Linked DNA regions of Callithrix jacchus. The protein of the gene in region 1 purifies or fractionates together with the protein of each later gene. This does not show direct contact. Links are inferred from orthologs where the notes say so. Each region holds a gene or a part of one and is shown on either strand. Other genes may lie near its edges.

Region 1 (3,648 bases):
GATGAGCTCCTCAGTCATGTTCTCACCAGTATTAATCTTTCCAACCCAGCAGTCAGATTGCATCTCCTAGTTCCAAGGTGGGAGCAAGCACCTTGGCTTTTAATTCCGTTAGGTAGACTCTGTCAGTGACTAAGATTTGTTACTTCTGATATATTATTATTATCAGAATACTAGAAAAATAGAGGAGATAAGGGGCAGTGGTGAGTGGTTAGGATTGATGATTAAACAGTGGAATTTAGAAAGTGTTTCTCTTTGCAGGGAGTATCGGCCTGAATATGAACGTCTGAAAAAATCTCTGGTAAGAAGGGAAGCCATTTGTATATTTTAAAAGGGACATTAAAAAAACCAGCTCAATCCTGATGACATAAGGGCTTTTGTTTTGGTTATTAATGTTTCTTTTATTTAATTAAAAAACTTTCTGTGGCTTTACTGAGGTATAATTGGCTAATGAAGTTTCCTGTATCTTATAAATACTTGTTAATTTAAATTTGTAAATTTGTATGTATGTTGTCTGGGTACAGAAAGGCTCCTTAATTTTTCTTCCTTTTCAGAGGTCAATTTAAAGCTAGTTGTAGAATTTTGTTTAAGAATATATTGCCAGGCGCGGTGGCTGAAGCCTGTAATCCCAGCACTTTGGGAGGCTGAGGCGGGTGGATCACGAGGTCAAGAGATTGAGACCATCCTGGTCAACATGGTGAAACCCTGTCTCTACTAAAAATACAAAAAATTAGCTGGGCATGGTGGCGCGTGCCTGTAATCCCAGCTACTCAGGAGGCTGAGGCAGGAGAATTGCCTGAACCCAGGAGGCGGAGGTTGCGGTGAGCTGAGATGGCGCAATTGCACTCCAGCCTGGGTAACAAGAGTGAAACTCCGTCTCAAAAAAAAAAGAATATAGTGGTGGTTCACAACTCCTTTTTCTGTTAGTGAGAAAGGATCTCAGTCTGTTGCCCAGGCTGGAGTGCAATGGCACAATCATGGCTCACTGCAGCCTCAACCTGCTGGGCTTAAGTGATCCTCCCATCTCAACCACCTGAGTAGCTAGGACAGCATGTGTGTACCACATCCCTGGCTAATTTTATTTTGTATATTTTTTGCACAGACAGGTCTTGCTATGTTGCCCAGGCTGGTCTCAAATTCCTGAGCTTCTGTGATCCTCTCCTCTGGGCCTCCTGTAGTGCTGGATTACAGGCATGAGCCACCACACCCAGCCTTCTCTTATCGCAAATGATCAAGTGTCCTGCTTCCCTAGGCTCGTTGTGTCCTGTGTCTCTGAGCCTTCCTGTTATTTCTACTTCAGAGTTTTGTGTTTTTTCCCCATATAATAAAGTTTATTGTATCTTTTTTTTTTCATTTTGTAGCCTGGGGATGAATAAAAAGTAATGCTTTCTATCTAGGCATTTTCCCTAGCCCGTTTATATGTTCCAGATCCACCCTGGACTCAACTCAATAGTTTGGAATTGAGGGTTCTTTTGAAATGTTTTTGTGTTCAGTTTCTGAATCCTTTAAATCAGTGTGTAGAGCCCTCCAGTCTGAACTTCTGCTGTAACCCAGGTTTATGCTGCTTAGTGTTTCTCTCCTGATACCAGATGTCCCTTATCTGCATCAGTTTTTATGTAGCCTCTGTATGTGTATAATTCTTCATCTCCACTGAGAAGTCTGGCATCTAATTTGGGGCTCCTTTTTGAATATGATGACATTTTTCTCTGTATATACAGGCAAATGCAGAAAGCCAACATCAGAGAGAACAACTAGAACGCCTTCGAAAAGATATGGGTTCTGTAGCCTTGGACACAGGGACTGCCAAAGGTATTGGAGGTCTTCTTGGTGTTAGGAACTAAAAAAAGGTTACATTTATTTCTACTCAGCAGGATTCTATTTATGTATGAGAGAGAAAAAGATAAAGGAAATATGGTTTTAGACATATATATATATACACACACACACACACAACACATATGCATACATATATATTAAAAATAAAGGATTTGGAGAGGCAAACAACTAGAAATTTTATACAGCTATACCACTTTGGATTCCTCTTTCAGGAAGTTTTTGCTTTACTCTGGCAATACACTTAATATGTGCTGTGGGGTTGTTTGTTTGTTTCTAACACTTTTAATCCTCCCCAATTTTTAAATTTTTTTCATTAAAAAAAATTTTTTTTGAGTTGGAGTCTCGCTCTGTCACCCAGGCTGGAATGCAGTGGCACGATCTCGGCTCCCTGCAACCTCTGTCTTCTGGGTTCAAGCAATTTTCCTGCCTCTCCTGAGTAGCTGGGACTACAGGTGTGTGCCACCATGTCTGGCTAGTTTTAACATTTTTAATAGAGATGAAGTCTCATGATGTTGTCCAGGCTGGTCTTGAACTCTTGGCCTCAAGCAGCCCTCCTGCCTTGACCTCCCAAAGTGTTGGGATTATAGGCATGAGCTACTGTCCCCAGCCCACTTTTTTTTTTCTTTAACTTGCTTTGGTGAGCAAGGACTATTTACTTTTATGACTGTACCATGTTGTTTTTTTTTTTTTTGAGACGGAGTTTCGCTGTTGTTACTCAGACTGGAGTGCAATGGCTTGATCTCGGCTCACCGCAACCTCCGCCTTCTGGGTTCAAGCAGTTCTCCTGCCTCAGTCTCCTGAGTAGCTGGGACTACAGGTGCGCACCACCATGCCCAGCTAATTTTTGTATTTTTAGTAGAGACGGGGTTTCACCTTGTTGACCAGGATGGTCTCGATCTCTTGACCTCGTGATCCACCCACCTCGGCCTCCCAAAGTGCTGGGATTGCAGGCGTGAGCCACTGCGCCCGGCACCATGTTGTTTTAATTATGTAATTATGTTCAATATCTGCTAGGTCACATTCTCCTCATAATTTTTATTTGGTTGTCCTTACATAGTCTTCCACATGAACTGAGTATCAACTTTAGTCCCCTAAAAAGCTTTTTGGTATTTTTGTTGGGATTATATTATATTCATAGTTAATTTAGGGAGAAGTGACATCTCTATGATGTTCAGTCTTGTTACCCAAGACCATGGAGTGTCTTTGTATTTGTCAGGTCTACTTGTATCTTTCAAGAATGTTTATGGTTTTCCTCATGGTGGTTTTCCGTATTTCTTTTTAAACCATTTTTGTTATTTTAGCCAACCTTTTTGACCAAGAGTTTTTGCCTGTTTGTTTTTAATTTTTTTTTAAACAATTCATTTTTATTTGAGACAGGGTCTTGCTTTGTTACCCAGACTGGAGTGTAGTGGTGTGATCTTGGCTCACTGCAGCCTCTGCCTCCTGGTTTCAGGCTATTCTCCTGCCTCAGCCTCCCTAGTAGCTGGAACTATAGGTGCCTGCCATCATGCCTGGCTAAATTTTGTATTTTTAGTGGAGATGAGCTTTTGCCATGTTACCCAGGTTGTACTTGACCTCCTGGGCTCAAGTGATTTGCCCACCTCAGCCACTTAAAGTGCTGAGATTACAAGTGTGAGCCACTGCATCCAGCTTGAAATTTATGTATGAATGTATGTTTGCTGTGTATTTATTTTTGAGGCAGAATCTAGCTCTGTTGCTAGAGTGCAATGGTGCAATCTTGGCTCACTGCAACCTCTGCCTCCTGGGTTCAAGTGATTGTCGTGCCTCAGCCTCCCAAGTAGCTGGGACTACAGG
Region 2 (3,648 bases), on another chromosome or scaffold:
TTAATAGAGACAGGGTTTCTCTGTGTTGGTCAGGCCGGTCTTGAACTCCCAACTTAAGGTGATCCACATTCCTTGGCCTCCCAAAGTGCTGGGATTACAGGTGTGAGCCAGTGCACCCTGTTTTTTTTTTTTTTTTTTTCATTTTTGTTTTGAGATGGAGTTTTGCTGTCACCCAGGCTGGAGTGTGTGTGTGGTGGAGCAATCTCAGCTCACTGCAACCTCTGCCTCCAGGGTTAAAGTGATTCTCCCACTTCAGTCTGTTACGCTAGCATTGCAGTCGTACCCCACCTCGGCTGGCTAGGTTTTTTTGTATTAATAGAGACCGGGTTTCACCATGTTGGTTAGGGTAGTCTTGGACTTCTGGCCCCAATTGATCCACCTGCCTTGGCCTCCCAAAGGGCTGGGATTACCGTAGTGAGTCACTGTGCCCGGCCTCCAGTGACGCTTCTTAAAGTGTCCTGGGGTGTGACATGTGCTTGTTGGAGAGGTTGGTACCGAGTCACCTGCCTCCCCAGAAGTTCCCAGGGTGGGAGCTGCTCAGTGTCAAGGGTCTCTGCCTCACTCCCTGGTCACTGGGTGACTGAGGGGTGTCAGGCCCCTGTCCTCGTCTCTTGGTGAATGGGAGGTATCAACCCTCTCTTCCCCAGTCCTAGGATTCTGCAACTCAGGCCACGTTTTGCAAATGTGGAAACTGAGGCCCAAGTGGGAGAAGCACCTGTGCTGAGCGGAGCTAGGACTCAGGTGCTCTGCGCTGAGTGGGGCTGGGACCCGGGCGCTCTGCGCTGAGTGGGGCTGGGACCCGGGCGCTCTGCGCTGAGTGGGGCTGGGACCCGGGCGCTCTGCGCTGAGTGGGGCTGGGACCCGGGCGCTCTGTGCTGAGTGGGACTGGAACACAGGCATTCTGTACTGAGGGTGCTGGAACCGGGTGCTCTGGGGTCCAGGTGGGCAAGGGCCAAGAGGGCCCAGGGTGGTACAGGCCGGCATACTGTCCACAGAGGAGCCCAAGGTGGGCATCAAGACCATCAAGGTGTACTGCCAGCGCATGCAGGAGGAGAACATCACCCGCGCCCTCATCGTGGTGCAGCAGGGCATGACGCCCTCTGCCAAGCAGGTGAGCGCCCCACCCCCAGCCCCCACCAGCCTCTCACCCTCCCCAGCCTCCCCTGGGTGGTGCCAGCAGGCGGCCCACATGCCTTGGGCCACGCCAGCCAGGGTGCCCTGGAGGATGTGGCCGGATGTTTGGCAAGCCCCGACTGTCTCCCACCCTGTCCATGGGCCACAGTGCTGAACCCCATCCCCATCCCAGGCAGCTGCCATCCTCCCCTGGCTCTCAGGAGGGCATCAGAGCAGAGGGCACCTTGCCTCTCTCTCCAGCTCTGTGGGCTCCAGCCCTTGGCCTGGTGCACCCTTCAGGACCCAGAGACTCTTTCTTGAGCTGATGTCCAGCGGGATGTGCTGAGGAGGCCTGTCGTGTCCCCCATCTGTCTGTTGGACACTCCTGAACCTCCATGTCCCCCGTCTGTCTGTCAGGCACCGTGAGCCAGGCAGCCGTGTTGCGACAGGCAGTCAGTGGAGCAGCTTGGTCTCTGGCCCACTGGGTTTTGGGTTCACAAAGCCACACAAAGCAGCGCCTCTGTATTGGGAAGAGGTCGCTGTGCCCACTTGAGGGCTGCCCGTGGAAGTGTCTGACGGGTGGAAACACAGCCTCATTACTGCTTGTGACAGGAGGCCCTTGGGATGAGCAGAGAGGCTGGGGAGGGGTGGGTTTTTGAAGGCCCCTGGGCTGGCGGTGGGGGTTCTGATTTACGACATGGGGTGTGTTGTTGGCACGCGAGTAAGCCGCCTGTAGCCTGAGGCAGGAAATGGAGCTGGGGTTGTCAGGGCCCCTCCTGGCTGTGTCTGAGTCTCTCTCTCTCCCAGTCTCTGGTTGACATGGCTCCCAAGTACATCCTGGAGCAGTTTCTACAGCAGGAGTTGCTCATCAACATCACAGAGCATGAGGTGGGTGCCCTGCCCCGGAGCCCCGCCTGTGGGGTCCCAGAGATGCAGGATTGGCAGGTGGCCAGGAAGATGTGGGATACGGGGCTCGGGCTGGCACTCCTGCTAGCACATGGAAGGCAGGGTCCTCACAGGGTGGCCCTGGGCCCGCAGCAGCTGAACCCGAGAACTTCCTAGAAATGCAGGATCCCGCTGGGATCGGTGACTCAGGCCTGTAATCCCAGCACTTGGGGAGGCCAAGGTGGGTGGATGACAAGGTCAGGAGTTCAAGACCAGCCTGGCCAAGATGGTGAAATCTTGTTTCTACTAAAATACAAAAAAATAGCTGGGCGTGGTGGCACATGCCTGTAATCTTAGCTCCTCTCAAAGCTGAGAGGAGGAGGTTGCAGTGAGCTGAGATCTCGCCACTGCACTCCAGCCTGGGTGACAGAGCAAAGCTCTGTCTCAGAAGGAAAAAAGATGCAGGGTCCCAGGCCCGTCCCAGCCTATGGAACAGGGACTGTGGTGCGTGTGGAGGGACCCTAGTGCCACTGACCCAGCAGGAGTCTGGGTCGAGTCCCAGGAGCTGGACAGCAGCAGCCCGTGCTGAGGGCCTCCCAGCTGACCCTGACCCACGCCAGAGGTGTTGCCATGTCAGCTGCCACACTTTGCACTCAGCCCAGAGTGGGGCTTAGCCAGGTCTGACTTTGGCCGCGTTCCTTTAAAGGAGGTGACGGTGTCCCAGCCCATCTACTTCAGAAGCTCCAGGAGCTGTGCCCCTGCAGACTCCACCCCTGCCTGTGGAGCTGGGGTGGGGCAGGATAGGCTCTGAGTGCCGGGTGGTAGTACCTGGGAGCCCCATGGGGTCTGGCCCAGCCCTTGGTGATGTCTGCTGGCCTTCTCTCTCACCAGCTGGTCCCTGAGCATGTCGTCATGACCAAGGAGGAAGTGACGGAGCTGCTGGCCCGATAGTATCCTTTCCAGCCCCGCTGGCCTCTGCCCCACCTGTGCCTCTGGATTTCCACATCCCCCCACCCCCACCCCTACCCCATGACTCCACCCGGCGTTTTCCTGACCCTGCTTCCCAGTAAGCTCCGAGAGAACCAGCTGCCCAGGATCCAGGCAGGGGACCCCGTGGCTCGATATTTCGGGATAAAGCGTGGACAGGTAAGCCTTCAGGGGAAGGGGCCCTGGGGGGGGGCTCTGTGCTGACCACTAGTCGGCAGGGGCTGCTGTCCCCTCCAACAGCCCCCTCCTTGACACTGGGCCCAGAGAACAGCATGACCCCAGGTTCCCAGGGTCAGCATCTCGGGCCCCTGTGGGCCCTCCCCAGCTGGTGTGCTGCCCACTGCCCGTAGTGAGGCCTCAGCCCCTGCGCTCCTGCCCCCACAGGTGGTGAAGATCATCCGGCCCAGCGAGACAGCTGGCAGGTACATCACCTACCGGCTGGTGCAGTAGCCGCCACCTGGACAGGTACCAGCTGTGGGGTCAGATGTGGGGGTGTTCTGGCTTTGTCCACCCAGCAGGCCCCACCCAGTGCTGGGCCATCAGGGCACCCCAGCCCGCACCCGGCTGCAGCTCCTGGGGCCCTGTTCCTGGGAGGGAGCCATGGTACTGTTCCCCCCGCCGGTGACCTGCCATAGCAGGAGACGCCCCTGCGTGGCGGGACTT

What was found. Proteins that work in one complex are often made in the same cells at the same time.
Region 2: the proteins of GPN1 (region 1) and POLR2E purify together in Homo sapiens (affinity purification with mass spectrometry; 3 studies listed by BioGRID and IntAct, with this or other methods). This does not show direct contact. The link is inferred for Callithrix jacchus from reciprocal best matches to the Homo sapiens genes GPN1 and POLR2E.

The regions. Positions count from the first base shown.
Region 1 is NC_133515.1:87,399,888-87,403,535, reverse strand, and holds part of GPN1 (GPN-loop GTPase 1), read left to right. Parts: intron 1-258; coding exon 259-298; intron 299-1,350; exon of another isoform or gene 1,351-1,457; intron 1,458-1,715; coding exon 1,716-1,806; intron 1,807-3,648. UniProt on the Homo sapiens protein: Small GTPase required for proper nuclear import of RNA polymerase II (RNAPII). May act at an RNAP assembly step prior to nuclear import.
Region 2 is NC_133523.1:1,033,623-1,037,270, reverse strand, and holds part of POLR2E (DNA-directed RNA polymerases I, II, and III subunit RPABC1), read left to right. Parts: intron 1-995; coding exon 996-1,111; intron 1,112-1,920; coding exon 1,921-2,001; intron 2,002-2,889; coding exon 2,890-2,948; intron 2,949-3,065; coding exon 3,066-3,144; intron 3,145-3,369; coding exon 3,370-3,435; 3' UTR 3,436-3,450; intron 3,451-3,648. UniProt on the Homo sapiens protein: DNA-dependent RNA polymerase catalyzes the transcription of DNA into RNA using the four ribonucleoside triphosphates as substrates.